4 linked regions of the Tamandua tetradactyla genome follow. The protein of the gene in region 2 interacts with the protein of the main gene of each other region in a pairwise test. Links are inferred from orthologs where the notes say so. Each region holds a gene or a part of one and is shown on either strand. Other genes may lie near its edges. The genes, in order: LNPEP, FATE1, NDUFB11 and BNIP3.

Evidence for each region.
Region 1: the proteins of FATE1 (region 2) and LNPEP interact in binary tests that used the Homo sapiens proteins (3 or more experiments, as listed by UniProt). The two-hybrid records come from large-scale screens. The link is inferred for Tamandua tetradactyla from reciprocal best matches to the Homo sapiens genes FATE1 and LNPEP.
Region 3: the proteins of FATE1 (region 2) and NDUFB11 interact in binary tests that used the Homo sapiens proteins (3 or more experiments, as listed by UniProt). The two-hybrid records come from large-scale screens. The link is inferred for Tamandua tetradactyla from reciprocal best matches to the Homo sapiens genes FATE1 and NDUFB11.
Region 4: the proteins of FATE1 (region 2) and BNIP3 interact in binary tests that used the Homo sapiens proteins (3 or more experiments, as listed by UniProt). The two-hybrid records come from large-scale screens. The link is inferred for Tamandua tetradactyla from reciprocal best matches to the Homo sapiens genes FATE1 and BNIP3.

What each region holds. Positions count from the first base shown.
Region 1 is NC_135347.1:34,099,859-34,106,894, reverse strand, and holds the start of LNPEP (leucyl-cystinyl aminopeptidase), read left to right. Parts: upstream 1-4,027; 5' UTR 4,028-5,239; coding exon 5,240-5,339; intron 5,340-5,818; exon of another isoform or gene 5,819-6,119; coding exon of another isoform or gene 6,120-6,123; intron 6,124-7,036. UniProt on the Homo sapiens protein: Release of an N-terminal amino acid, cleaves before cysteine, leucine as well as other amino acids. Degrades peptide hormones such as oxytocin, vasopressin and angiotensin III, and plays a role in maintaining homeostasis during pregnancy.
Region 2 is NC_135353.1:3,542,132-3,549,438, forward strand, and holds the start of FATE1 (fetal and adult testis-expressed transcript protein), read left to right. Parts: upstream 1-4,301; 5' UTR 4,302-4,407; coding exon 4,408-4,513; intron 4,514-5,608; coding exon 5,609-5,739; intron 5,740-7,307. UniProt on the Homo sapiens protein: Involved in the regulation of endoplasmic reticulum (ER)-mitochondria coupling. Negatively regulates the ER-mitochondria distance and Ca(2+) transfer from ER to mitochondria possibly implicating it in the regulation of apoptosis.
Region 3 is NC_135353.1:123,090,925-123,098,608, forward strand, and holds NDUFB11 (NADH dehydrogenase [ubiquinone] 1 beta subcomplex subunit 11, mitochondrial), read left to right. Parts: upstream 1-4,667; 5' UTR 4,668-4,982; coding exon 4,983-5,189; intron 5,190-6,747; coding exon 6,748-6,878; intron 6,879-7,060; coding exon 7,061-7,187; 3' UTR 7,188-7,288; downstream 7,289-7,684. Other genes in the region: RBM10 (RNA-binding protein 10), read right to left, coding at 2,192-2,333, 4,125-4,218. UniProt on the Homo sapiens protein: Accessory subunit of the mitochondrial membrane respiratory chain NADH dehydrogenase (Complex I), that is believed not to be involved in catalysis. Complex I functions in the transfer of electrons from NADH to the respiratory chain.
Region 4 is NC_135339.1:94,575,849-94,583,276, reverse strand, and holds the start of BNIP3 (BCL2/adenovirus E1B 19 kDa protein-interacting protein 3), read left to right. Parts: upstream 1-4,410; 5' UTR 4,411-4,585; coding exon 4,586-4,631; intron 4,632-5,877; exon of another isoform or gene 5,878-7,428. UniProt on the Homo sapiens protein: Apoptosis-inducing protein that can overcome BCL2 suppression. May play a role in repartitioning calcium between the two major intracellular calcium stores in association with BCL2.

The sequences.
Region 1 (7,036 bases), on a different chromosome or scaffold from region 2:
GCTAGTACCTCTTCTTCTCCCATATGAAATGAGGGAGGTGATTCTAAATTCAGCACTCCTGAACTGTGCTTTATCTGAGAAGCCAATCACAGTGTTTCTAGTTTCCGGGCTGCTAAAACAAATACCGTACAATGGGCTGGCTTAAACAATGGGAATTTATGGCTCTTGGTTTTGAAGCTACACGAAGCCCAAAATCAAGCAAGGCATTTGTTTCTCCCCAAAGACTGTGGCATTCTGAGGCTGCTTCCATTCATCCCTCAGCCTTAGCTTTTCTGCCACATTGCAAAGCGCGTAGAGAGTCTTTCTCTTCTGGGTTCTGTTGACTTCCAGGTTCTGGCTGCTCCCCATGGCTTCTCTCTTTGTGGCCTTCACTATAAGGACCTATTAGGATTAAGACTCATCCTGATCCAGTTGGGCCACCTCAACTTAAGTAACCTCATCAAAAGGTCCTATCTACAATGGGTTGGCACTTATAAGAATGGATTAAGTTTAAGAATATGTTTTTCTTGGGTACGTAACTCCAAGCCACCATGTCTGGAAGTATCCACATTTTCATTTCCAGTGGTGGGTTTAGAAATGTATGAAACACAGCTTTGGCAAATAAGAGTATTTTTGAGAAAGTTTCTTTACGCTTCTTAAGAGACACTAAAGAGAAAGTTGCTTCTTCTTCCCCGGCCGCCTCTTGACCGCATGGCAGTCAGTGTCTTGGAAAAGTACTCACACTGAGGCCACAGGGTGGAGAGAGTGAAAAGATGAGTTCTTGAGATTGTAGAACTATAACTGGAGATTGTCTTTTCTCTGCACGTTATGGGAGATAATAAATTTCCTTATTATGTATACTCTGGTTTCTCTTCAGATCGTATAAATCTTTCGCTTTTTACTAAAGATTTCCGTGGAGAGAAGCACCTCTGAGTCTTAAACCAATTTTTTGAGGCCCTGTTTAGGCAAGGCTAATAAAACAGTTAAAAAAAAAGAGAGAGAAAAAAAATTTTCCTTATTATGTAAACTAGTTTGATATGGGGTTTTGGTTTTTGTACTCCAAAACATCTGAAGGAGTACATAAATGTTCCTTCCTGTATTAGTTAGGGTTCTCTAGAGAAACAGAATCAACAGGAAACACTTGCAAATATAAAATTTATAAAACTGTCTCACATAACCGCGGGAATGCAGAGTCAAAAATCCGCAGGGCAGGCTTTGAAGCCGACGATTCTGATGGAGGGTCTGGATGAACTCCACAGGAGAGGCTTGCCAGCCAAGCAGGAAAAAGAGCCTGTCTCTTCTGAATCCTCTTTAAAAGGCTTCCAGTGATTAGATTAAGCATCACTCATTGCAGAAGACACGCCCCTTGGCTGATTACAAATGGAATCAGCTGTGGGTGCAGCTAATGTGATCATGATTTAATTCTATGAAATGTCCTCATTGCAATAGACAGGCCAGCGCTTGCCCAACCAGACAAACAGGTACCACCACTTGGCCAAGTTGACACATGAACCTGACCATGACACTTCCTATGTAATGACTTTTCTCTCTACTCAGCTGGATCTTTCTCTTATGGCTAAGTGTACAAGAATTCTTTTGGAAAATTATTCTCCCTTCCTTAGTGCTGTAAACAATTCTTAATTTGGTTTAACTTCCAACATCAATTATAAATTCTGAGTATGTATCTGTGAATGGGTGGCAGGGGTAATGAGATATTGATTGATTCCTTTGGTTTTGGGGGTGGCTGGGTAAGGCCTGGGGGTGGCTGGAAACTTCACTGTGGTCATGCTGGTTCTGGCAGCAAGACGCTTCCTCTATTTATTAAAGAGTGCTGAACAAACACTATCATTTTCAAATATAGGCACTGAATTGACATATTGCTTATTTCAGAAAAATTAGAAAAAATATTTAATAATGCTAAACTCAAAGTTGATATGGAATATCCTTCTTGTAGCCTGTAGGTCAGCTGTTTTCCTCTTTACCTCTTTGATTTTGTGGATTGTTTTCATTGACCCTAATTTCTTCACAGGAATAGGGAGGCAATGGCAAACTCTGGAGCACTGGTTTAGAACACAGACAACCTGACTGGATTAAGGGTAAATCATCTAACCTTTCTAGAATTCAATTCCCTTCTCTGTCAGATGTGACGTTTGGATTATCTGACCTAGAGCAGACCAATTACTTTATTTTGATAAAAATGTCCCTACATTCATTAACCAGCATGCTTATTGTTCTTTATAACACTGTTGGTTATTTACAGCACTCATTTTTTTTCTTTCATTCAATTACTATTAGCCCTCTAAATTTCTGTTTTTTAAATGTTTAATGATTCTGAAAATAGTACATGGGTATATTCATTATCAGACCTCTTCTGATAATGAATAGTAACTTCCATGGTAACTGAAAGTGTTAGAAACTTAAAGAGGAAGTTCTGTGTGGGAGGATGAGAGGAGGTCAAAGAAAGAAACATAAATGGGTTTCAATATTAAATTTCTGAAATTATGTTGCCACAAGTTTTATTAAGTCAAGTATAAAATGGCATCCAAGAAAACACTGAATAAAACAAATTTATTATTGTTCTTTTGAGGGAGATAGGATTCTGAACAGATTTTGGTTTTGCTACTTAAAAAAAAAATTAACCTCCAATACAGAATTGCAAGTCTTTAAATGCCCCCTTAATATCTTTGTGGTGGTGATGGGGTGGGTGTGGGGCTGGGGGCAAGGAGTGTGGCAGACGAGATTGGCAAAGAGAGGATAACGAAATTACTTGCCTGTTTAGGAAAGACATTTTGATTCACTTATATTTGCTAGTGCGATGGTGAAACATTTTTACCACAAGTCTCTGCAGAATTAAGACACTTCAGACAAAATACCAGATAACGTGTTTCACACATAAAAGCATGATAGACCATAGCTTTACAGGTGAGGTAATTCAAGGAGCTGTTGAGTTTTAAATATCTCTGATACTAAGTGCTTTGACTGCAAAAATAACCTCAAAGGAACATGACCTAAAATTTAAGGAAGAGTTTCTTATCTAAACAATACAGTGTTTTGTTATGAGATCATTTTAATAAAACCCTTTTCTGAATTTTCCATATAATATGGGAATACTTAGGAACCTATCCTATTTTTGGCTCTGAAGTTCCCTACACCAGGCCAGCCTAAGGCTGTGGGGCAGTGGCAAGAAAGCAGCCTTGAGTTTTCATACAGAAAACTTCTCTGTACTGATCAGAAATACGCATTCTCCGGAAGGGTTTTGGTCAGTAAGAGCGAACCAGAACTTTAAATACCATTGCATTCATTCACTTATTAATCCAAAAATTGTTTATTACATATTTATCCAGGCACCAGAAACAGCTGTAGAAAAGGTAAAATAACCCTGCCTTCCTGGAGCTTGTATTCTTCAGGGGAAAATAGACAATAATTAAACGGTAAACAAAAAGCATTGTTTTAGATAGTGATGAAGAAGACAGTTGCGAAGAAAACAAAACAGGACAAATCTATACATAGACAAATTTTGTCTGTGGCTATTTTAGATTGTGTGGTCAGGAAAGGCTCTCTACAGAGGTGACATTTGAGTTGAGACCTAAATGACAAGAAGGAATCAGCAGGCAAAGTACCAGGCAGAAGGAACAGTTCCTGCACAGAAACAGGTAAAAGCAATGACTAACGTTACTGGATAAAACTTTTTGAGATTTCGGAAACGGCATGAAGGCATCTGTGGCCAAAGCACTGCAAGGGTAGAAGACGAGGTCCCTGACGCATATGAGGGGTTACGATCTTATTCTAAGCGTAACTGATGCCCACTGGAGGTTTTTGAAGAGGGATTGGGAGATGGGTGATATTCATTTCGTATTTTAAAATACAGTATCCCAAATGGCCACGCACTTTGATTTTACTTCTTTAAAATTTAACTTCTAATTCCTGTACGAATTGAACGACACCCCGGCCACCTCTGTTTTCTCAGGCTGTTTGCGCTCGCCGCGGGCTGGTTTGCACCCGACGCTCCCCTGTTGACAGCCTCGGAGGAGCATGTGACAGTTGGCAGGCGCAGCGAGGGGCAGCCCGAGCCAAGTCGCTGCAGGGGCCAGGGCTGCGGGAGGGGGCAAGGAGAGGAGGCGACGGCGGCCCTGCGCACAGCGAGGAAGGGAGGCGGAAGAAGCGGGGCCCCCCACGGGCCTCCCAGGGGTCAACGGGGCCTCAAGATGTTCCCGAGTCTCGCCAGGAGTGCCCGGAATCGACATCGGAAACAATGGTGGCTCGGGGCTGGACACCATGGCGCTAGGGCTGGAGGTGGGGGTGAGGGGTGGGGAGGCGACTAGGGGAGTTTCGGCTCCTTGGGCCTAGCAAGGCGCGGCCTCAACCTCAGCTCACCCAAGAGCCGCAGGTGTTGATTCGAGGCTCGGGTCCCGCCGTCCTTCTGCCCACATCCTGTGGCGCACGCGGCCCGGGGCCTGGAGATCCGGCGCCGGGTTTTGTGATCCGCCCGCATCGAGAGGCCGCACCCGAAGCCGCTAACCCTAGGACCCGACTCTAGGCCCACTGGGCCCTTCGGGGCTCCCTTCCCTCCCGTTGGACTCCAGGCGACCGACCGCTTGGGGCCACTGTGCTGAGGAGAGCTGCGGCGCCCTTTCCCTCGGGCCTTGGCGAACTGAGCTCCTCGGAGACCAGCTTCACAGGGAAACCGATGCTTCGCGGTCCGGAGTGCGACCTTCGCCCGCAGGCTCCTACTCTGTCTTCAAACCTCTGGTTCAGAGGCACCGGCTCAGCAAGTCCTGTCCTCCCGACGCCATTCGAATTAGCCACCCACTCACTCTGCATCCCACCACCCCGATTTAATGTTTTGCGGTACATTTACTCCATGTGTCTTCCGTGTTTGTTTTTTGTCTGCTCTGGAATGTACGTTCCACGGAGCAGGGACTTTTCCAGGCGCAGTATGGTGTTCCCGCAGCCTAGAACGGGGTCCGGGCCCAGGGAGCCCACTGACATTTGGTGAACCACAGGCTGCAGTTCTCGGCCTTGGAGAGCAACAGAGCCGCGGCCTCTTCGGGCGAGGGGCGGGGCTTGTGGCCCCTAGGCCTAACTTTCTACTTCCGCCTTCTTTCCCCCGGTCCCCCGAGGGCTGAGCCTGAGCCTCGCTTTGCCCTCAAGCCTCCCTCCCTCCTCCTGCAGCCACCGCAAAAACCCGGAGCCTCGAAGCAGCGGAGCGGCGCCACCCCTCGCGGCACCTCCCTGGCAGCCCTCGGCGGCCGCGCTGGGCATGCTCAGTCGGCAGGGCCGCTTCAGCTGGCGGAGTAGGAGTCTTAGGCGCTCCGGCTGCAAGGAGCCGCGGCGGGGTAAAATGGAACCTTTTACCAATGGTGAGTGTGGGAGGCCCGAGGCGCCGGGGTCAGGCTCTCACAAGCTCTCTGGGTTGCCGGCAGCCGTGACACGCGGGGACGGGTTTCAGTTGCCCCCATCGCGGGTGTCTTGCCTGGGTTTAGGGGAGGTGGTAGGAAGCTGGGGGCGGCAGCGGCCAGCGCGGGGCCGGGGGGCTGCCCCGGGTGGGAGGTGGCTGGGGGTGGCCGGGACCCAGAGCTCCGCTGTGCGGCGGGGCGGACGGACGCACAACAAAGTTTGGGCTGTTGTGCGCAGAGGAGGGGACAGCGGGAAAGTTGTCTGCCCCTGCTTTCGGGATGGTAGGGTTAAACCGTGGCGCCTGCCAAACCCAACTTCTGTGGCACGCCGGGCTCTGTCCCCTTGTCCTTCAGAGAGTTGCCGGCGTGACTTTTCCTAATAGGGCGGTGGGGGGGTGGGGGCCTTGGCAGACCAATGAGTGGAAGGAGGGGAAACTTGCGGGAAGCCTTGCTCACCCTCTGCCGAAGAGAGATGCCTATCCGCATTGCCACTTTCCTGTCTGTTGCTGAGGCGCTCTGCAGAGCGTTCGGCTTCCTGCCTTCCTGATAATCAGCTTTTCAGTCAAAGACTCGTTAAATATCAAGAGTCCGTCACGATGATATCACAATTTGGGTTGAGGCGAGAGTCAAAGCAGGAGCCTGCACGATGCCCTGCAAACTGCCACGGCGCTTTACTGAATGGAGTCCCATCTCTAATTAAAACGATGGCTTTTGTTTGCACCAGGAGTGCTAGAGTCACAATATATGGGTGAGATGTCTTACCATTGTGCGGCGTTGAGTATAGGATGCCTTTTAAGGATACAAAGTAGGAAAACTGTCAAGGGAGAATTCACGCTAAAATTAAGTAGATTCACTTCCCAGTTGATGTGTGGTTCATTACTTTCAGGTAGTTAGGCTATAGCAGTATCGAGGCCGGTCTCATCCCTGTTTGAATTGTCAGTTACCAGTCAAAAGACAGACATTGTCCACTCTATCCCAAACCTCAGCCAGACTTTGTTGTATGCTGTGCTTCGTTCATGGGGTCGTTATAACTACTCTGTCCCTAATTCAGAATGCTTTATTCTGCTGCCATCTTTCTGTCTGAGCTGATTAATTAGGTTTAATAATGACAACTTTAATTCTGAATTTTCTTTCTCATTTCAATTCTATTTGTAATTACTAAGGCTCTAAGAGTAGTCTGGTAAAGTTATCCAGAGAATCAAGGAAGATTTGAGCTGATTGGAGCCTTAGAGACCATCTAGCACTTTAGTATTATAATATATATTATAATATTGCGCTTGAATATTCCAGTGCTTATTCTTCCATAGATTTCTTGTTTGTTCTAGATAGAATGCTTGTAGCTTCCATGTTGGTAGGATTTTAAATGTACAGTTTCACCTAAATAAAAAAAGAAAAAATCTCTGTAGCATGGCTGCATCACCCATTTGCTCAAGATTATTAGTTGCTCGTTTGATGAACCTGCCTCTACAGAATTGAAGTACATTCTCAAGTCTTAAAATTTGGGCCTGTTTTCTTTTCATAGAATACGCTGTTCTAGATGTGAATATTTGCAAAATTGTCACATATGGGAGGGCAATGGAAAAATCCCAGGGTGGGGGGGTGGTAAGAAAAGGAAGCAATGCTTCAGCTTCTATGTAGGAAATTGGATTTCTAATCCTTGC
Region 2 (7,307 bases):
AACAACAAAGCTTGGATGGCAGCACATCTGTTTATAATATGGCCTACTGAGTATTTTCAACCAACGGTTGAGACCCACTGCTCAGAAAAAAAAGAATCCTTTCAAAATATGACTGCTCATTGACAATGCACCTGGTCACCCAAGAGCTCTCATGGAGATGGACAACAAGATGAGTGCTGTTTTCATGCTTGCTAACATAACATCAGTTCTGCAGCCCATAGCTCAGGGAGTTATTTCAAGTTTCAAGGATTATTATTTAAGAAATACATTTTGCAGGGCTGTGGCTGCCTTAGGTAATGATTTCTCTGATGGACCTGGGCAAAGTGCATTGAAAACCTTCTGGAATGGATTCACCATTCTAGATGCCATTAAGAACATTTGTAATTCGTGGGTGGAGGTCAAAGCATCAACATTCACATGAGTTTGGAAAGAGTGGATTCCAACTTTCATGAAGGACTTTGAGGGACTCAAGACTTCAGTGGAGGAAGTAACTGCAGATGTGGAAATAGCACGAGAACTAGAATTAGAAGTGGAGCCTGAAGATGTGACTGAATTGCTGCAACCTCATCATAAAACTTTTGTAGATGAAGAGTGGTTTCTCATGGATGAGTAAAGAAAATGGTTTCTTGAGATGGAATCTACACCTGGTGAAGATGCTGTGAACATTATTGAAATGACAGCAAAGGATTTAGAATATTACATCAACTTAGTTGACAAAGCAGTGGGAGGGTTTGAGAGGATTGACTCCAGTTTTGAAAGAAGTTCTACTGTGAGCAAAATGCTATCAAATGGCATTGTATGCTACAGAGAAGTCTTGTGTGAAAGGAAAAGTCAATCGATGTGGCAAATTTCATTTTTGTCTTATTTTAAGAAAGTGCTGCAGCCACCCCAACCTTCAGCAACCACCACCCTAATCAATCAGCAGCCATCAACATCGAGGCAAGACTCTCCAGCAGCAAAAGATTATGACTTGGTGAAGGCTGAGATGATGGGCAGCAATTTTTTAGCAATGAAATCTTTTTGAATTAAGGTCTGGACATTGTTCTTTTAGACATAATGCTGTTGCATGCTTAATAGGCTCCAGTGTAGTGTAAACATAACTTTTATATGCTCTGGGAAACCAAACTACTCATGGGACTTGCTTTATTGCAGTGATCTGGAACTGAATCTGAAATATCTCTGAGAAATGTCTGTACATCTGTTCAGACATGGGGAGACTCCCGAGGCACCAGGCCCCTGTGCACCTCTTCTGGAACCTTCCGTTGGGGTCTTCAGTCTCTGTGGCTCATCACTTGCACAGGGCCCCATAGTTACCACACCAGAGAGTGGAGGAATTTCAAAATGTTTTGGATGAGAGTTTAGGGAAATTTCAGAAGGAACTGGTGATGTTGGAGGGAAAAGATTGGCATGTCTGAGAGAAACGTTAAGGGACAAGTTCTCTCTCTTCCTTCCAGCCATCCTTGGTGGTCAATCTAAGTGAGGCAGGCCTGTGGAGATGGTGAGATGCCCATGGTTGGGAATGAAGTCTCCCCAACTCTTTGCTTCAAAAGGGAAAGCCTGTGTCCCTGGGAAGTGCGCCAGCTGCCCTCTGCTTTTGGCTGAGAGGAGACAAGTCTGCTGGACGTGAACTGGAGCAGAGTCCCTAGAGGGGCTTGATTACTGCTGACATTTCTCCAGAGGAGGGGAGAGCGTAGAGGCAGCCATCTGGTTGGAAGGGGGATTGGGAATGCTCCTTAAAGCACTTTGCATAGCAGGGCAAAGCATTTTCCTCTGAGTAGTGCATTTATTTGGAATGGTTGGAGGGGGCTGATAGAAATTACTATGGGACTAACACCTCCAATCTACTTTGTAATTTTACTGGCTGTGGGGACCCCCAAGAGAGCCAAGAGTGATATTAGGGAAGGCGACAGAAGGAAGTCTTCGTCTGCTGCCTAGTGCCTGGAGGGCACTCCCAGGGTCTGAGCTTGGGCAAGAGAGCAGAAAGACCCCGTGACTCTAGAGGGGTCACTTTACCTCTGAGGACTTCTGCTTCATTTGTTTTAAAATAAGGAGGATTTTAGTGGTTGTGGAATAACTTCTATGGGCCAGGCTATGTCTGTACTCCTGCCCTGGTTTTTGGGTGATGAGAACTGAGACCCACAGAGGTTAAATTCCTTTCTCAGGGTCACATAGTCCTTGCTTTCTCTCCAAGGTTGCCAGATTAAATACAGGGCAGTAGTTCAATTTGGGGTATACCTACATTAAAACATGATTTGTTTTTTCACACAAAAATCAACTTTAACTTGTCCTGTATTTTTTACTTGCTAACTCTGGCAACCTTAGGCAGCGGGTATTTTCAAGGGGTGAAGCCGATTTCCTGAGGAGCTTGGTGGGCTAGAAAAGGTGTGTGTGTGTATGTGTGTGTGTGTGTGTGCCTTTGGGAGGAGCTGAAGCTGTTCTCCAGGGGACTTTTTACTCTGAGAAAATGCAGCAGAAGAGTTAGAAAGCACTCCCTGCCACCTCCTCTGGGGGAGGCCAAAGATTGGAAATTGCTCTCCTTGCTGCCCATGGGCCCGTGATGAGGCCTTTGGACACCTGGGAATCAAAGAGATGATGCCATGTGGGATGGGTGGGCTGGAACATGAGGAGTGGGGTCAGGGCCTCTGCCCTGGTCTGGCCAGTGCCTGCACGGCAGACCTGACTGAGTAGTGCTCTCTGCATTTGGCATCCCTGTCTGTTGGGCCATTACCCAAAGGGCCCTTCCTGTTCCAGCCCTCTGTGGGTCTAAATTTGGCACTCTGCAGAGGGGAGCTGAGCCATCCTGGCCTCACCAAGCTCAGACCCTGGAACTGACAGCTCTTGTCCCTGCCAGTTGGTCCTGTCTGGGCCAGTCTGGTCCATAGGTTTCTCAAGGTTTTTGGCCTTAAGTGATGGGTGCCCCTGCCACCAGGGGGCAGTGCCTCTGCGAGCATCTGGACCCAGGTTCCCTGTTCCCTAGAAGCTCAGTTGGCAGCCAGAAGGATCTTCGGTCAGTGGCTCAGGGCCCTGCAGCAAGCCAGTGCCTGTACTGCCCAGCATCTGCTGACTCAGAGTGCCCCTCGCAACCAGGCAGCCCTCTAACCCCGTTGCCCACTGGGGGCACTGAGGCCCAAAGAAGTGAAACATTTGCCCAAGGTCAAATCTTGAGGTTGTGCTGAGGGTGGGCAGGGCCTAAGGCAGCCAGATAAAATACAAGCTATGCAGTTACATTTGAACCTCAGATAAACAAATTTTTTTTGTTTAGTATAAATAGTTCCCAAATAATGTATGGGGCATGCTGCTTCTAAAATTTTGTTTATCTGAAATGCAAATTTAACTTGGCATCCTGGATTTTTCTTGGTGAAATCTGGCAACCATGGTAGGTCAGAAACCCATGGCTGCCTAGTGTCCCAGGACCCACTGAGCAGCTCTCTGCAGCCTCTGCTTGATTTTGGGGTGGCAGAGAAGGAAGCCCTCCGGGAAGCTCGGGTTTCATGGCAGCTGCTGGCATGGGGTTGGGCAAGGCTCCTGGAGAGCCCCCAGGAATGGAGGCAGGGTCCCCGTCAGTTCAGCTGGGTGGGGGCTGAGTCCCAGCGCTGGACACGTGGGGCAAGGGACAAGTATAACCAGCCCCAGATCATGTAATGGTCTCTAAGTGAGCTCTAGCCTCTCCCTTCCCCCGTCCTCCCTCCTTCCTCCCCTCCCTCCTCTTCCGCCCACCTGGCCCCAGCTGTGCTTAGTTCTTTTCATCAACAGCTTCCCTAGAGACTCTGTGGCTATTCTCTAGAGTGGTCCCGGGAGCTTGCTGGAAGGAAGTTTTCTCATGGTTCTTGCAATGCTGAGCCAGGTTAGAGAAAGGCCATGTGCCTGCCTGAGAACTAGGGGTTAAGGGAGGCAGCACGTGCTCTGGGAGGACAGCTTCAGTGGAGGTGGGCTGGGGGGCAGCCTGGACTCTTTAGCTAGAGCTGGCCTCACAGAAGCCACAAGAGGCTTGGGACTAACCCTGCTTTGGCCAGCCACCATTTATGGGACCCTATGCCAGTCCTTGCCTCTCCCTAGAAATGATAGAGGGTGGACCCCACCTGCCCCAAGATGGGGCCAGATCAGGTGACCCCTGAGCCCAAACAGTTCTCACAGGCAAAGTTTTGAGCGTTATCTCTTCTCCTAAGTTGCTTACAGAGTAGCAGGGGAGAAGGCCACAGACCCAGTCAATAAGATAGAACAAGAACAGAAGGTGCTGGGCCCAAGGCCTGAGTGTGGAGAGGGAGTCTCTTGGCTCCACCCTTCTGCCCGCCCAGATATATCTGCCTGGAGCTCCTACCCCTCAAAGAGTGGTTTTCTAAGTGCCTCCTTTCTGACACGCACCCTGCGCAGCTCTGGCCACAGCCTACAAGTGAACAAGTGGCTTTGATGGCAGGAGAGCCCACTAACACCAAGGAGGAGATGGAAATGCCTTTGGCCAAGGAGGTGAGCCCTCAAGGCCAAGGGCAAAGTCAGGAGTGCCTGACAACAGCAGGTGAGGATCCCCTGAAATGCTCTCATCCTTGGGTGAGATGGCCAGCTGTGTGGACACACATCTGCACCTGTATGTGTATGTCTGTATGTGTGTGTGGGCACGAGCATGTGTCTGTGCCTTGGTGTACAAGCATTTGCAGCTTTCCCCTTATCTCGGAGCTTCTGAGCATCCCATGTGGGTGGAGGGCAGAAACAACAGTGGACATGGACCCTCTGTCTCCTCTGGTCCAAGTTCTCACTGTGTCTGTTGCAAAATATTCAAGTCAATTAATCAAATCAGTCAGACTGATTCTCTCTGCAAACCCTCCCAGTTCTTCCCCTTGGACTTTACCATAAACTCCAAACTCTGTGCCATGGTCTCCATGGCCCTATCAGTGTTGTCCCTTCAACCTTCTCCCTGTCACAGCATGCATGCAACATACAATGTGTATAGCACACGAAGGGCCCCACTCCACAGGGCATTTATATTTTCTTGTAACACCTCAAGCTTGTTCCTTTCTTGCAGCCTTTGTACTTGCTGTTGCTTCTGCTGGGAATGTTCTTGCAATGCTGAGCCAGGTTAGAGAAAGGCCATGTGCCTGCCTGAGAACTAGGGGTTAAGGGAGGCAGGACGTGCTCTGAGGGGACAGCTTCAGTGGAGGTTTTCCATGTCCAGGTTCTTTTTCCCTTTAAGGTCTCTGCTTCAATGTTGTTTCTTACTTTTCTACAAGTAGCCCCTTCTTCACTGCATGTTACCCTGCCTTTATTGTTCTGGGAGTGTGTATCTCTCTATGTGAAATTGCCTGGTTGGTTATTTTTGTTTTGCACTTTCACTCTGCTTAGTACACACATAGCTGGTTGGGTTTTTTGATTGCTGGGGCCTTATCTCGTGGTCATCGCTCTCTCCCCAGTACCTAGTACAGAGGTTGGCCTTCAGTAAATGTTTGGTGACTTGTTGAACAGATGAACAGACTGAGGCCTGGGACTGCCTAATGGGCAAGGGTGAGTGGGTACTGTGGATTGCTAAGAAATTTGTGGGGCTGTCTTCTTTATGGTGTTCCTATACCTAGAAAACCTTGGTACAACCTCTATCTTGGGACCTCTCTTCTTCTTCTAGAAATGACAGAGCAGGGATATTGGTCCCTAGGAGTCTACCAGCGGCGACAGAATTTGGAACTCAAGACTGTCAGCTGTGTTCTAGCCCCACCAGTTTGGAATATGACTGACATCCGCCCCAAGAAAATGGTTGTATGTGGGGTACTTGATACTTGGTGGCTGGGTTAAGGATGGGAATTTTGGCTATAGGTCTCCAGTCTGAGCATGGTAGGTACAGCAGGTCCAGATGTTGACTTGGGGGTCAGCAGAAGCTCCTTTGTGCCAGGCAGGAACCTGAGGGCAGGGGAACCCTTGAAAGATTTAGAACTGTCCTTTGGCAGGCAGGGAATCCAACCCTAGAAGTTCAAAATGTCTGAAGCACTCATTGCTTGGAGAGTACATATAAATGCTATTCTGTAAAAGCTGTACTGTGTGTGAAACGACACTTTCCTTGATTAAAAACAAAAACAAAACAAATGTATGTGGGGTGGGGGTAAGTTGTAAGCCGAGGTGAGTGAGGCTTCTAGGCTTCCTGGCTGTTACGAAATCCAATCACGTGAGTAACTATTCTGTAGCCAATCCTTTAGCTACACTGAAAGTGAGTGAAGGAATGTTCTAGAAAAAAATGGCAGTTACACTGTTGCAAAGGATACTGGGAAAGGGCAACCATTTTAGAAGAGGACTGAGACGTGACTGTTCTAGGGAATCACGTGAGTACTGTCTTTTGTCTGTAGCCAATCCTTTAAGCTTTGTTCAATGTGGATGGGGAAATGTTTCAGAAAAATTGTGCTATACTGCAGCAAAACCTACTGGGAAAAGATAGCCAGGTTAGAGGATGAACACACTGTCCTGGGAACCATGTGAGTCCTATGTTCTGTAGCCAGTATTTTAAGTTACATTAATGTGGGTGACGGAATGTTCTAGGAAAAATGACTATTTTATAGTGGCAAAGAATACTGGGAGAAGACATTGAGGTTGGGGAGGAGGGAGACCTGACTTTTCTAGGGGTTAGGTTACAATAAATGCTTAAATGATCCCATCCCCGAACGCAAAAAGAGAGAAAGAGCCCCCAGGTCAGAGACTGCTGGGAATGCATATAAACCAGAAATACTGGATTTACTTCCTATGTCCAAAGGCTGGAACCAAATCAAGTTCTTCCAGCAGATCGGACTCCAGGAAGCCACCCCTGCCCTTGAGACCGCAGGAGGATATAACCACTCGATTAATTAAATTTAGCTATTAGAACTAGAGAAGTGTCCTTAAAACCCACAGACATTATATTGAATTTAAAAATTAAGACTATTATTTGATTTATTAATTTGATTTATTATAAAACAGAACTATTAATGGAACTGCCAGTGCCTCTGAGACAACTGCAGCATGCAAGGGCCAAATAAATAGTGAGCCTTAAAAAGCACTTTTTTGAAACAATTGACAGCGGGAAATTTGGACATATTGCAGTTCATAGAATTTCCTATTCTCAATCAAATTAATATAAAAGCCTTACATTTTACAATGTATAAAATTTCAAACAGAGTTTTAAAAATAAAAAGGCAAAAAAGCAAATAACTGTTAACAAACATTTAGACTTATCTTATTCCAGGTGATCACAATAAAAGGTAGTATCAGCTTGGAGCTGTTGTTGTTAAATTAATTCTTACTATCTTGAAGTGCTGGCAACAAACTATGTTATCCTAAAGCAAACAAACAAAACCTGCCAC
Region 3 (7,684 bases), about 120 Mb from region 2:
TTATAAAAACCAACCACTTTCCTCTATTCCCACAAATACCAGCTTGGAAAATACAATAAAATAAGATGTCAAGAAAGACTGCTAAAGTGTCTAGGAACTACCTTAACAAAGAATAGGCAAGACCTGTCTTTTCATCTACTCAGATTTTTATATCATTGAAACAAATTTTAAAATATTCTTTATATAGGTCTTGGATAAGATGATTACTTACAAAGATGATGATTCTCCCCAAATTAATTCTCCCCCAATTCAATGCAATCTCAATCAAAATTCTTATTGCATGTTCTTGAAGACCTTAAACTTTATATAGAGAAGAACAAAGTTCCACAAATGACTAAATCAACGTTAAAAAATAAGAGCAAAGAGGGATCTATTAAGACATTCTATAAAGCCATAATAAAAAAGTAAGATTTTGGCCCAAGAATACACAAATAGACCAACAGAACAAATCAGATCACTCAAGACAGATAAATGTACATAAGTGAACTTGAACTGGAGGAACCACAAAACAATAGAGAAAGAATGGACTGTTTTAGGAAATAGTACTGGGAAAACTGCTCATACTATGAAAGAAAATAAAACAGAACCTACCTTATATTCATTAGTGGACTGTAGATGAATTGAAGACCTAAGTGTGAAAGGTAAAGCTACAGAGTGAAAAGAATTTTGTGATCCAAGGTAAGAAAAGAGAATTATTCTGACAGCACAAATTATAAAGCAAAAAAAGTGATGAATTTTAGCATGAAATTAAGAATAGGTACACATTCTTGGAGGAATAATTAAATAAAATGCAGTATGCACACCCCATGATATCCTTGCCAACAATGAGAAGCAAAGCATATACACATGGCAACAGAGACAGTCTTAAAAATACAGTGTAATTAAATGTTTAGGAAACAGAATGAAGACTGTAGCACTATGCCATTTGTGTAAAGTAACTATCACTACATATTTTATCAAATAAGACAGCAGTTGCCTACAAATAGGAAATGGGTATGTAAAAGGAAAAAACACATGGCAAGAGGGGGTCTTGTTCTGACCTATGAAGTAGACCTATCTTGAACAGGAAGGTATGAGTAACTCAAACCTCTGCACTCAAGGTCCTTCAAAGCCAAAAGAAAGCCAGCGGCTTTAACTGGTAAGGTCTGAATCAAGTATGTCACCTACTCAAACTCAGAAACTGCTATAGAACATTTCCAGTGAATACAGTCCAAAATCAAATGCTTTTGAAGAAGGTCAAGACTGAATAACACTGGATGATGACCACATCTCAAATTCAGTTTCACGTCTGAAAAAACAAAATATTTTAATCTTACATTTTTAAAAGGGGCAGTAGTGAAAAACTAAGACATTACATATTATTTTTTCTCCCTGAGTTTTTATAAAACCTCTGACTGGGAGAGTTAGGTTTCTTCTTTCCTATGCAATCTTAAAATGTCATGGATAGATCACCTGAAACAGAATCACCTGGGGGCGATCTACCAGGATGATGAGGAAATAGCCCAGTTCTCAGTATTTTACCAAGTGACCCAACTATTTCTTGCTCATACCAGAGTTTAAAAATAACTGTAATGAGAGAGTCCATTCCAAGACAAGTATGACACCAACTTCTGCCCATTCCATCCCTGGAGTGTCCTACTATTTGACCTGGCCTTTCCCATATTTGACCTGGACAAATTCCTGACTCTGAAAGTCCCACCCCTACCCATCTTCCAAATCTCTCTCCTGACCCACAGGCACTTACAACCCAATACTCATCTGACCCCAACCTCTGCCTCTCTTCCTGCAGCAGCTGTCCTCAACTTAGTAAATGACACCACATACCTATCCAGGTCAACCAAATTGGAAATGTGGGATCAGCCTCAACTCCTACCTTTTTCTTGATCCCCTCCCAACCTCATATCCAACCATGGAATCCACTGTGTTTATTGTAATCACCTGCAAACTGTACCATCTCCCTTGTGAGACCCTGAGTAACACAGGGCTGAAACCTTATTTGTCTCATTTATCACTGCATTCCTAGAGCCTAGCACAGTTCCTGGCCCACAAAAGGTGTCAAATGTCTACTGAAAATAAATCAATCATCTGCTATTTCCTCTGTCTGCAAGGCCTTTCCTAGCATCTTCCTGAACCAATGCTCACTTGGGGACAAGCCTAAACTGCTTTGTAGGAGTGGGGGAGGATAACTTACCGTCTTTCATACTCCATATCCTGATAGGGCCTGCGGGGGCTGCTGGGGCCCCTCCTTAGCCGCTGGCTCCGTTTCACTTCCCAGCCACCCCCACTGCTGCCACCATGATCTGCCAGCCTGGGTGATTCCTCCTGTAGGGACTCTAGGGAGATGGGAGGAAAGAAAGGGGTCAAGGCAGCTGGGGCAGAAAAGGTCTCCTTGAGAAACTCTGGTTGTCCAGATATTTTGCTGTTCTTTAGCCTGGGACATTGTTTTCCAACTCCTAGTACTCCTGTAGACCAAAATGGGAATACAACTACTGCTTGGCCTCCTTCTTCCTTTCTCCACAAACACGTGGCTAGAGCCCTCTCCCTAGAAATAGCAAGACCGTCATCAGATAGGAGAGCATCTTGTAGAGAGAGCTGGAACACTCAGAGGGGCCACAGACCTCGGAGACTGGAGGGGTAGTGATGTCACCCACCCATCCAGTATTCAGGGATTTGCCACCTGAGACTTGTAGACAAGCTGCCTGCCCAGGGGAGCGCTTAGCGCTGAATGACCTGCCACAGAATAGACACTTTAAGTACAGAGGTGAGACTCCACAGCAAGGGGAGTCTCAGGCATCCACCAGGCTCCTTCTAGGCCCCCAGGAGCCATTTCGTCCTCCTAACAAGATTCTGCAAGGGGACAGGAAGGAGACCATGAAACATTCTTGGGTGAGGAGGGGGGTGGGGGCTAATTTGGCAACGAGATAGCTGCTGTCTCACTAGGCTCCTGGCCAGCTCAGCTTTGGCTCTCACAGGGCAATTGGGTCAAACTAATATTCAGCCAGGTCCCAAAGTGGCTCTCTCCCCAGGGTTTGGGCCCAAGTCTTCTCAGACGTAACAGGGGCCCTTTCAGAGGCTGTTTCAAACCACTGTGCTATTCTGCTAGGCCAGAGGAGCAGTCAGTCAACTCACTCAACCCTGAGGGTTGCGGAGCCATGTGACCCAGCCAAGGGTCATGATATATCCTGAATCTTCAGGCCCCACCCTGTGAACAGGAATCTGAGAAAAGCCTATCGGTTACAGCACCTGCCCAACACTAGGATGCCACCACACCTTTCCCCATGCATACACACACCAATTTTCTCTTCCTCCTCAAGCCACAGGGAACCAGAGTTACCTATCTCCAGATACCTAAAGATTAGAATCACAACCAGGGGTCCACTTGGATGAAACCCAGATACAGGCTCTGGCAAAGGAACCAGAGCCACAACAGATAGAGGCCAAAGTCACAGATACGAGCCCCAAATAACTACAGGCAGAAATCACAGATAGAGACCCGCAATAAATAAGGGCCATAATCACACACTGAGCTCCCTTTCAATGGATAAGTATCACAGTCACAGATAGAAACCTCTCAAAAGAAGGGGCAATAAACCACACATACACTCCCTACACTCAATAAGTGGGTTAGGGCCTAGACACTGCCCCCCCACCCCCTACCCCACATGAGTAAGGACCAGAGTCACAGACATACCCTAGGGATAAAGAGCGGAGTCGTACAAACTATGAGCCCCCGCCGGCTCACGAATAAGGACCAGAGCCACAAAACATGTCCCCACTGATAGACAGGTACCAGTCACATAGACCGAGCAGACAGCACATCCCCTCCCCTGTGGATAAAAACTAAAGTCGCAGACACCCGACTCTCCAGGGATAAAGCCCAGCGTCACTGACAGTAAGCCACAGTAACCCACTCCCATCCTTCCCTCCCTTCCCCCAACTCGCGTGCACCCATCCCCGTGGTCCCAATCGCGCACGCGCCTTTGGTCTCAAAGGGGAAAAAAAAAAAGTCACCCTCTCCCGGGTTCAGACTGTGCACTCATCCCTCAGTTCCGCGCACCCTCCAGGCCCCTGGCCCGCAGTCCTTCCTTGCGCTCCTCTACGCACCCCGTTTCCCAGCCCCTTACCTCCACCCTCAAGACCAGCGTCGACGCTCACCTTCTCGGTCCGGGCTGTCACGGGAGGGCTCCCAGACATCACCTCGGCCCGTCGCCACCGCATCCAACTCTCCCAGCTCAGCCGGAGCTGGTCAGCGTAACCACCAAGTCCGTGGCTGGAGGCAGAGGGGAGGAGGAGGGGAGAAAGGGGAAGGGAGAAGCGCCAGACGCGCTACCCTCCCCGGAAAACCCACTGCCACCTACTCCCAGTCGATCTCAAACAGCCACACAAAATGGCGACGACGAGAAGGGAACCGGTGCTTCGACCACCATCCACCTACTAAGGGAGCGCGCTCCGCCGGTCCTCGTCTATTGGTCGCCGCCCGCGGTCGGCCAACCCTGGCCTCCTCTGATTGGCAAGCGAATGCCACCTCCCCACTCCCGCGTGCGAACGCCCGCAAGTCGAGAAAAAGAGTGGCCATTGGTCAATCCCGCGAGGCCCGCTTCTTAGAAGCTTGGCTTCCTTTGAAGATGAAAGGCAAACGGAAGCCCCGCCCCTTCCCCAAACAGCAAGGGAACTCGCTGTGCGATTGGCTGTGAACCACCCAAATGACACCGCTTTTTTCCCATCAAGGAAGAGAGCAGACCTGTCAATAAGAAACTCCTCAGCCCGAAGGAGAGGATAAGAGAAGGGTTGGTCCCTCCAGGACATGACAGAGAGAGGGAAAGAGGGCCACGCAGCGCCCCGCCTCATTTGAAAAGAAAATCAGACCTGAGACTTATTTACTGCGGCGGCGGCGGAGCGACAAATATCGCGCACGCGCAAACTGCAGCTGCGCAGAATCGCATTGCCGTCCCCGCCCCTAAGTTACTACGGAGCAATCTATCATGGCGGTCGGGCAACTAGGTTTGTACGCTCGCCGCATTTTGGCTGCAGCTGCGACGCGGGGGCTCCCGGCTGCCCGTGTCCGTTGGGAATCCGGCTCTTCTCGGGCTGTAGTCGCTCCACCTGTCGTGGCGGAGAAGCGTACTCGGGAACCGACCATACGCTGGCAGGAGGACCCGGATCCCGAGGACGAAAACCTCTACGAGAAGGTGAGAGGGAGGGGGAACTAGGACGTCGAAAGGGTCAATCGGGAGCAGGCTGACGGAGCGCAGTAGAGGACGTTCTTAGTTGACCGAAGGTTGCGCAGCTGGCGAAATCCTCTATGAATTTTGCCTAGCTTGTTCGCCTAATTTGTCCCCTGAGAGTCTGGTCTAGGGCCAGATGCGGGATTGGCATTATTTTGCAGACAGAAATCAAACTTGAAGTGGGCAATTCTCAAACCACGTTAGAAGCAATATAGTATAACAACAATAATATTAAACACCAATATGGCGCTTATTCTGCCAGGCAGTGTTCTAAGGACTTTATATGCATTAGCTCATCTAAGAAGCAATAATGTTTTGAGATAGACACTATTATATACCCATTTTACAGATGCGAGAACAAGCGCAGGGATGTTAGATGCTTGTCTCAGCTAACATAACATAACTGAATACATGGTGGAAATAGGTATTTGAACCTAGGTCTACTGGTCTGCTGTCCTGTATTAATAACAGACTCTAAAGTCAAATGGCCTGGGTTCGGATCCAGACACTTAATAGTTACTCATTTGTGTGACCTTGGGCAAGTGGTTCAACCTCTTGTGCCTAAGTTTTCTTTGTAAAATGGGGAAGTAATAAAAACACTATCTAAAGAATAGAATACTATACCTGCCTCATGCAATTAAATTAACCAAAATGGTCAGAACAGCAGCTTGTACTTGGTAAGTACTCAGCTTTAGAAGCTGTAAATTATTATTGGCACTTTCTGCCTGTTGGGATATTGTGAGGTTTGCATATGTAAAAAGACCTGGCACATAATAGGTACCACATCAGAATTAATTTCTGGTTTACAGAGTTAGATTTGCAAAACGCTTATTCACTTTTTACTCATTGTAAATATGTAATGAGGGCCTGCTGTATGCCAGGCACAGTTCTGGGTCCTAGGGATACAGCAATGTGGAAATCAGACAAAGCCTGTACTTTCATAGAGCTTAAGTGATGTTGGGGGAAGACTTAAAAATAAACATGTAAACTATTGGATGACAATAATATAGAATAATATAATAGGTAATACAATAATGTGATACAGAGGATCTGGGCAGATGTTACTTTGGTAAATAATCTCAAATAATGGTAAATGAAAGTTAAGCAGCATAAGAAAGAAATGAAAAGAAAGTTAAGCAGCATAAGGGGATAGAGTGACATGGAGATTGGGAATTACCTTATTAGATTGAAACCACAGAAAATTACCAACGTTCAACCATTTTAAGTGGTAGTTTCATATGGTTCAATGTAGTCGATAAGGTGATTAATGAACACCTCCTAAAGGAATTGAGTGAGGAGAAGCCAGCCATGACTGGATCTGGGAGAAAAGCAGAGGGAACAGCAAGTGCAAAAGGCCTAGTGATGGGAAGAAACTTGGCATGTCCTAAAAATAGAAAGAGAGGAATACAGTGAGGGAGAGAATGTTGGTCCGAGGTGAGATTGGAAACCAGGTTATAAAGGGCCAGCATGAGGCTTCATGGAAAAGCAGGAAGCTCTCATTGATATCATCATCCTGCCACAGAACCCAGACTCCCATGGTTATGACACGGACCCTGTTGTGGACCTCTGGAACATGCGGGCCGTCTTCTTCTTTGGCTTTTCCATTGTCCTTGTCCTTGGCAGCACCTTTGTGGCTTACCTGCCTGACTACAGGTACATGGGAAGTCTGAGAGAGTGGGATGGGTGGGGGGGAGCAGAGGCAAGGGTCGGGGTTGAAGGGAACTCTGCCAGGAATCCTGTTCCTGCACTGTTGGGGAAAGGGGAGCTGAGATGGGGGATTGGATTGGTGTTTGGTGAGGCTCCCTCCTGTCTATTCCTGCTGCTGCCATCTCCAGGATGCGAGAGTGGGCCCGCCGGGAAGCGGAGAGGCTTGTAAAGTACCGCGAAGCTAATGGCCTCCCCCTCATGGAATCCAACTGCTTTGACCCCAGCAAGATCCAGCTGCCAGAGGATGAGCAGTAACCAGTTGCTGAGTGGGGCTCTGGAAGCACCTCCCTCTCCACTCCCCTCCCACCATCCTGCCATCTCCTCAGAGCACCTGATGATTAAAGGGACTGAAAGTCTGCCTGGCTAGCTGTTGATTTTGTCGAGGAGGGGAGGCTGGCAGGGGGCTGGTATCACAAGCCTTAAAAGGGCCACTTGCAGCCTTTTTTTGGTGTTCTGGCTATCTATTGCTGTGTAACAACCACCCTAAAACTTGTAGCTTAAAACAACACTTTATTATTCTCTCTCGTGTATTTATGGATTGGCAGGGCTCACCTAGATGGTTCTTCCTTGGGATCTCTCAGGTGGTTGCAGTCAGATGGTGGCTGGGGCTGGAGCCATCTGAAGGCTCAACTGGGCTGGATGTCCAAGACTTCTTTAGGCACATGACTGGCACTTGAGTCTTTTTCTGTATGGCCTTCCTCTCTAGCAGAAGGGCCTGGGCTTCTTACATGGTGGCTCAGGGCTCCCCTGGA
Region 4 (7,428 bases), on a different chromosome or scaffold from region 2:
TAATTATACCTCAATAAAGCTGTTCTTAAAACTATGTCAGTTTAAGGGCACACAAAGCCTGAACCTGCCTCTGACTTTGGATATCTGAGCTGCTGCGTCTCCTGTTCTCTGTTCTCCGGTGAAACACTGTTGTTGTTTTGTCTTCCAGAATGCTAATAATGCTGGTTCACCCAGGACCCAACTCCAGCACTCCTCTATATTGTCGGCTTATTTCCTTGTATTTCCTTACTGTCATTTCAATCGGATTTTAAGAGCAAGACAGAACTAAAAGAATACGGTCCCTTGGAAACCATAAATCAGATAAACATTTGATATCCCGTATACATAAAGAAATTACACAGCTCAACAACAAAAGAATAAACAACTCAATTATAAAATGTGCAGAGCATATGAGTAGACACTTTTCTGAAGAGCAAATACAGATGGCTAAAAGCTCATGAAGAGCTGCTCACCTTCTCTAGCTATAAGGAAATGCAAATTAAAACTACTGAGATACCACCTCACACCTGTAGGAACAGCTGCCGTTAAACAAACAGGAAACTACAAATGTTGGAAAGGATGTGGAGAAGTTGGAACACTTATTCACTGCTGGTGGGAAGGTATAATGGTATAGCCACTGTGGAAGACATTTGGTGATTGCTCAAAAAATTAAATAATGAGTTGCCCTATGACCCAGCAATGCCAATACTCGGTATATACCCAGAAGAGCTGAAAGCAGTGACACAACAGACATTTGCACACCGATGTTCACAGCAGCATTATTCACAATTGCTAAGAGATGGAAACAATCCAACTGCCCGTCAACAGAGGAGTGGGTAAACAAAATGTGGTTTGTCATACAATGGAACATTATGCAGCCGTGAGACGAAATGAGGTCCTGGAGCTCATGACAGCGGATGACCTTGAGGACATGATGCTGAGTGAAGCCAGCCAGACACAGAAGGACAGGTTCTGTGTCATCTCCGTATTATGACCCTGGTAAAGTTGAGAATGTCGAGGCTCAGGTGAGCCACACGAGTTGCTCTGGATTATAGGGCAAGAAGTGATCAGCTCGGACAGAAGGTCACTGCAGCGTCCTCTGATATTTTGTGCACTGTGATCTGGGTGAAGCCCATGGGGACAGCTGGGGAGTGTGGTGCTCTCCTGCCCGCATTGCCCTCCCACGTCCCTTCTTCTCTCCCTCCTTTCCTCTCTCTTTCTGTCTCTTTTTCTCTCTCTTTTTTTCCCCTCCTCCCTTCCCTAAAAGTAAAAACAGATAAAAACAAACATCTAAGTCCCCATGCCATTCTCCCCACTGTAAAAAAAAAATATATATATGGCACCTCTACCATCTTCTTCCTTACTTAGGTTTCTATATATATTGATTTTCCCCTCCATTCATCCTTTAAACAATTTTTATTGTGAAAAATAGCAAACATATAAGAGTAGATGGAATCAAATGAGCCTCTATGTACTTATGACCCAGCTTCAACACCTCATGGCGTCTATACCTCAATCCTCCACCTGCCCTCTCTGCTATTTTGAGGCAAACCCCAGACATCATATTTCTTTACATAAATATTTCAACATGTAACTCTAAAAGTTAGTAACTCTTAAAAATACCTGACCTGTGTAAATATATCTCAATAAAAATTGCGTTTAAAAAAAAAACACCTGACCACTATACCCTTATCACACCTAAAAGTAATTAACAATAACACTAATTTTTTCAAATAGTTACTTTGTGCTCAAATTTCTCTTTCTCTCTCTCTCCCTCCCTCTCTTTCCCTCACCCCCACGCCAGCCAGTGTCAGGAAACAAATCCATCTCCTTTTTCCCCTTGCAATTTATTTGTTGAAGAAAATGAGTCATTTCTCCTATGCTTTCCCACAACCTGCATTTTGCTGACTGCAGCTCTAGGCCAGCACATAACATGCTCCTCTCTCGTCTGTGCTCTGAATTTGGCAGTTACCTCCAGAGGCTTGATTAGATACAGGTTTTTTGTTTGTTTTTTAATAAATTAAAGAAGTTGTAAGTATACAGAAAAACCATGCAAAACCAGGTTTAATTTTTTTGTGGGGGAAAACCAAACTATTTCACACGCTGTGTTAGGGCCTTCTATGGGGGGACAGAATTTCTGGTTGACTTTGTGTTATTAGCAGCTGTTTGTGATCGATGAGTGGATTCATTCATTCAGGAGGAGCAGCAAAACAGTGATGTTCTCATCCCCATATTCTCCCGTCATTTAGCTGGACCACTTCTGTAGCTAAGGGGTTGGGGGAAGCTTTCCCCTTTTCACTCGAAAGGCAAAGAAACCACCAGCCTGATGACATTTCCTGTCTCCTCTTTGAAGAGCGGCTGGTGTGGGCAGAGAATCCCAGGGCCCTTGGCCTCTCCCCGCTTGTCACCAGGGCACATGGACTCGCTCTGCCCAGCCTTCCTTGGTGTGGTAGTTAGGTTCAGGTGTCTACTTGGCCTGGTGAAGGTGCCTAGTTCTGTCGCTGTGGACATGAGCCAATGGCTTGTGGACCTCATCTGTTGCTGATTACGTCCACAGTCGCCTAGGAGGCCTGCCTGCTGCAATGAATGATGTTTGATTTAATTGGCTGGTGCTTAAATGAGAGACTCAACGTAGCACAGCCCAAGCAGCTCAGCATACCTCATCTCAGGGCAAGCAGCTCAGCCCAGGCCTTTGGAGATGCAGAAAGGAATCACCCCAGGGAAAGTTGTTGGAACCCAGAGGCCTGGAGAGAAGGCCAGCAGGGATCACCCTGTGCCTTTCCATGTAAGAAAGAACCTCAGTTGAAAGTTAGCTGCCTTTCCTCTGAAGAACTGCACATTTTTAATGAAATAAATCCCCCTTTATTAAAAGGCAATCCATCTCTAGTGTGTTGCATTCTGGTAGCTAGCAAACTAGAACACTTGGTCACTGTGCCTCTTGGGCCATGTGTCCTGCAGCTGCAGTTGGCACCTCTGCTGTGGCCACAGCTGCGTTCTGCTTTTGTTGGTCCATTTTTCTCTTCTGGAGCAGCAGTGAGGCTGTGTTTCAAGTCATCCTGGGGGGAGGGGGGGTTCCCGGGTGCAGACCTTCCTGATTGGCCTGGCACTCAGTCCCCAGACACGACCTCCTGCCCTCTCCTGGTGTTCCGCCTGCACTGCACGCCCCCTCCCCAGCCCACAGTGTGCCAGAGTCCGTCCCAATCTCCAGGAAGCCTGTGGCCAGAGGTCTCTGGCCCCAGACCAAGGCCAGCCAGGCCAAACACACCTCAGAGGACCAAGCAGGGGATTCTCCGAGCGCTGGCCGCTTCCTCCCCTGCTCTCCACCACCGGGGCCCGCCGGGCACCAGACAGAGCCAGGCCCCATTCTCGGGCTGCTGCACTGAAAGTCTGAAGATGTCCTAGGGTGTCAACCGCAATTTGAGGTGAAAGGTGAGAAAGGATGACGACTCCTGAGCGTGCGGGCAGCCTGTAAAGGAGCCTGGCTGGGGCACTGCCTTGGAGTGGACACAAGTGGCTCCCAGAGGGCAGGAAGAGGTGGAGGGGCGCAACGTCAGGGCCGCCAGTGGGACTTGGGCTCCCAGTTCCTGGCCAGGCTGAACCCCTCAGCCTCCCCAGTCCCCCAGTGGGTGAGGTTCCCCAGGCGGCATTCCCACACAGAGGAGCGAAGGTGCAGCCTTCCGGAAGGCGCCACATAGTTTGGGTCTCTAAGTGCACAGCAGCCACCTCCACCTGGAAGCCCTGCCGGGGTTCTATTGTGGGGGTAAGGGAGGAGAGCGGGACGCCCAGAGGCGCAGCCGCCCTGGAGCCGGTGGCCCTGCTTCCTGCTTGCCCAGACCTGTCTTTGAGTGTGTTCGGGTTCGGGTTCAGACCACATTAAACAGAAAAGGGTTTCCTCCTGAGAGCCGCAGCCAGCCGCGCGCCGCCGCCTCCAGGTCTGCATCGCCTGCGGAAGGAGGGCTGGGTTACCGCCCCGAGAGGGCCGCGAAGCTCCGCGGCAGCCGCGCCTCTCCAGTTTCCGTGACTGAGCAGCTGCTGGGCCTAGCGCACCTCAGTTTCCCCGGCCTCCATGCGCCCCAGACCCCCAGGCCCTCGGCCACGCAGCTCGCGGCACTAGGTTCCATCGCGGGCCGCACACAGGCCCCGCGGCCGCCCCGCCCCCGCCTAGACCGCGGCACCCGGGGAAGCCCGAGAAAGCCTCGCCCCGCCCCCTCCGCCCTCGCCCCGCCCCGCCCCCTCAGCCTCGCCCCGCCCCCTCCGCCCTCGGCCCCGCCCCCTCCGCCCTCGGCCCCGCCCCGCCCCCTCCGCCCTCGGCCCCGCCCCGCCCCCTCCGCCCTCGGGCCCCCCCGCCCCCCGCCCCCCGGCCGCGCCGCACGCGCCGCACGCGCCCCGCGACCCCGCGCACGCGCAAAGGTCCCGCCCGCGGCCAATGGGCGACGCCGTCGCGGAGCCCACGTCGCGCCCCGGCCCGGAGCGGTCAGTCGGGGCTCGGACGGCGGAGCTGGGCCTGCGCGCTGTCTCCTCTGCCCGCTCTGCCCGCGCTCTCCCCGAACCGCTCGGACGCGCCCCCGCCCCGCAGACCCCGCGGCCGCAATCTCCCTCCGGAGTCATGTCGCTGAGCGGGGCCCCCGCGCTGCAGGAGGAGAACCTGCAGGGTAAGGCCGGGCGCGGGTCGCGGAGCCGGGGGCGGCCGGGGGGCGGGCGCGGCCAGGGGAGGCCGGGGGCCCGGGGGAGGCCGAGGGCCCGGGGGCGGCCCGGGGGGCGGGGTGGCCGGGGGTCGGGGTGGCCGGGGGTGGCCGGGGGTCGGGGGCGGCCCGGGGGTTGGGGTGGCCAGGGGGTCGGGGTGGCCGGGAGAGGCCGAGGGCCCGGGGGCGGCCCGGGGGGTGGGGTGGCCGGGAGAGGCCGAGGGCCCGGGGGCGGCCCGGGGGGTGGGGTGGCCGGGAGAGGCCGAGGGCCCGGGGGCGGCCGGGGGTCGGGGTGGCCGGGGGTGGCCGGGGGTCGGGGGCGGCCCGGGGGTTGGGGTGGCCAGGGGGTCGGGGTGGCCGGGAGAGGCCGAGGGCCCGGGGGCGGCCCGGGGGGTGGGGTGGCCGGGAGAGGCCGAGGGCCCGGGGGCGGCCCGGGGGGTGGGGTGGCCGGGAGAGGCCGAGGGCCCGGGGGCGGCCGGGGGTCGGGGTGGCCGGGGGTGGCCGGGGGTCGGGGTGGCTGGGGGAGGCCGAGGGGGTTGAGGAAGCCGTGAAGGCAGGGGAGGCCTGGGGGCCTTGGGGAGGCCGAGGGTCGGGGCAGCAGTGGGGGCCGAGCCGGGGGCGGCCGCTGAGCAGCAGCGCTTCCCCCCGGGAGGAGGACCTGGGGGGGGGCTCGGCTGTTGGCAAGAGTTAAACTGTGCGCAGTTGAAGGGTTAACTTGCCCCTGGACTAAGGGGTCCTAAAGGGAAAGCCCCGGCACATGGTTTTTCGGGGCAGGGCAGAGGTGACGGGAAATCGGGGCGCAGTCCCATCTTGAGGAAGTCTGTGAAGGAGCAGTTGGCCGTGGATAAATTCACAGTTTATTGTTGCAGTGTTTTAGGAAGTAGCCTGGGCAGCGCTGTGGTCTGCTGCTCGTAGGGTTCGGGTGGGGTGGAGTGGGCTTGGCCTTCTCGGGGCGCCGATGAACCAGCCGAAGTCATTCCGATTCCGGAAGGGGTGCTGTGGTGAGAGGCGCCGTGTCAGCCTGTCGTCCCCAATTCCAAATGTGTAAAAGGCTATTTAAAAAGACACCTTCTTGTCGAAACCGCTGCAGTGTGGGCCTTCCCCGCCGGGGCTGGGCAGTGGGCAGCGTGAAGGAGGTGTCCCCCAAGAGTGCGCTGCCTGGGCAGAAGTGCCTCCCGCCAGGCCCACTGTCCGCGGAGCCCCTGGGCAGAGGCTGCGGGTGCCGGACACCGCCTACAGCTGGCCCGCCTGAATTATTCCTTGTAGCAGCTTAAACCTCACGTCGCAGTAGAACCTTTCGAGTTTTCTTGCATTTTCTGTGGTTTGGCCAGTATTGATTTCAGCAAACAAATACTGCAAATTGAATTTTATGGTTTTTAGTTTTTAACGATTAACATTTGTATCTTAGCGACCATCTTTTTTTTCCTAAAAGAGGAAGGAAGGAAAGGGGGAAGGGTGTTTACCAATATTATATAGTGCTCCTTTTTTTCAGGAAATGAACATTTGAAAAATGATACAGGCATGCAGTCAGTTTTATTTTTAAGGTTGGTGTTCCATTTCTCCTGGAGGGTCATCGTGAAAACAGTGTAAAAGTTGACTTAGGGGTCAGAAAAGTACAAGAAGAAGGACGCTGTTCTGCCCCAGCTCCTTGGCGTTTCAGAGGCGGCAGGAGCCCCAGCCCTGGAGCCTGGCCCTGTGCGCCCAGGGCACCCCTCCCCCCCAGCAGGAAACCAGGGCTCCCCGCAGCTAAGGGGGGCCTAGGCTCAGCCCCCCTGGGTGGGTCTGCCCGCACAGGAATGCCTGGCACACCTGGCTTTTTCCTTTGGCCTCACTGACACAGCCCGGGCCCAGGGGGTGGGTAAGGAGCCTGGCCACTGCTGACTTTTGTCCTCTCTGAAGCAAGAGTTCGCCAAGCAAAGTGAGCGTGTAAATAAGCTCTGGAGAGGACTGTTGAGCCCTTTGAGAGTGCATTTGCAGCCTTCACTAAGGTGGTTGAAGTCCTTGGACTCTTCGGCTGTATTAGAAAGCTGCCTGTTGTTAAATTGTTTTTCAAGGTAAGATTTAGTTAGCCTAAACTAAATCTTTTTTATTGTATTGTATATGTACTTAAAAGCTACAACCACATATTTTAAACTCCTGTAGTTCGGGTCTTTTTTAGCATGGACTCATTCCCCCATTTGAAATAGATTAAGGGAGGTTTTTCTTTCTTTTTGTCATGGAGTAAGATCCATGGAATGTTTTATAAGTCCTTTGCCTTAAAATCACCCTTTTTCTAATGAACACACTCCTTTATTTCCAGTACTGCTTATTTTACCTCTTGGTTCAGACATTAAGCCTCAAGTTGAGGGTCTTTGGAGCAGAGTTTGGGGTCCTCTGGAGGGGAGCCCATCAGCTCCTCCCTCCTTGGTTTAGAACCCAAATTGCTGAGTCACTGGCCACACAAGACTGCCAGCTCAGGAATTGAAAGGTTTTTGTTTTTCTGTTTTGCTTCTTCTATAAAAAGATGGTTACCCGCAGAGTGGAAACTCGCATTGAGGATTCCCTGGGCCGCCCTCTGACTGTACGTGCAGCGGAGCACGCTCCCTGCCCAGCCCCGCCGGGAGCTGCCACTCCGGTCACATGGGACCGCCCAGCTGCCCCGAGACTGTGAATCTGCACTTGGCTTGCACAGCTCCGCTCTGAGTTGATTCTCCCTTGTTTACCTCTGAATGGAGGCCCGAGGAGGCCCTGGTAGCCGGAGCCCGTGGGAAGGGCAGCAGGCTGTGTG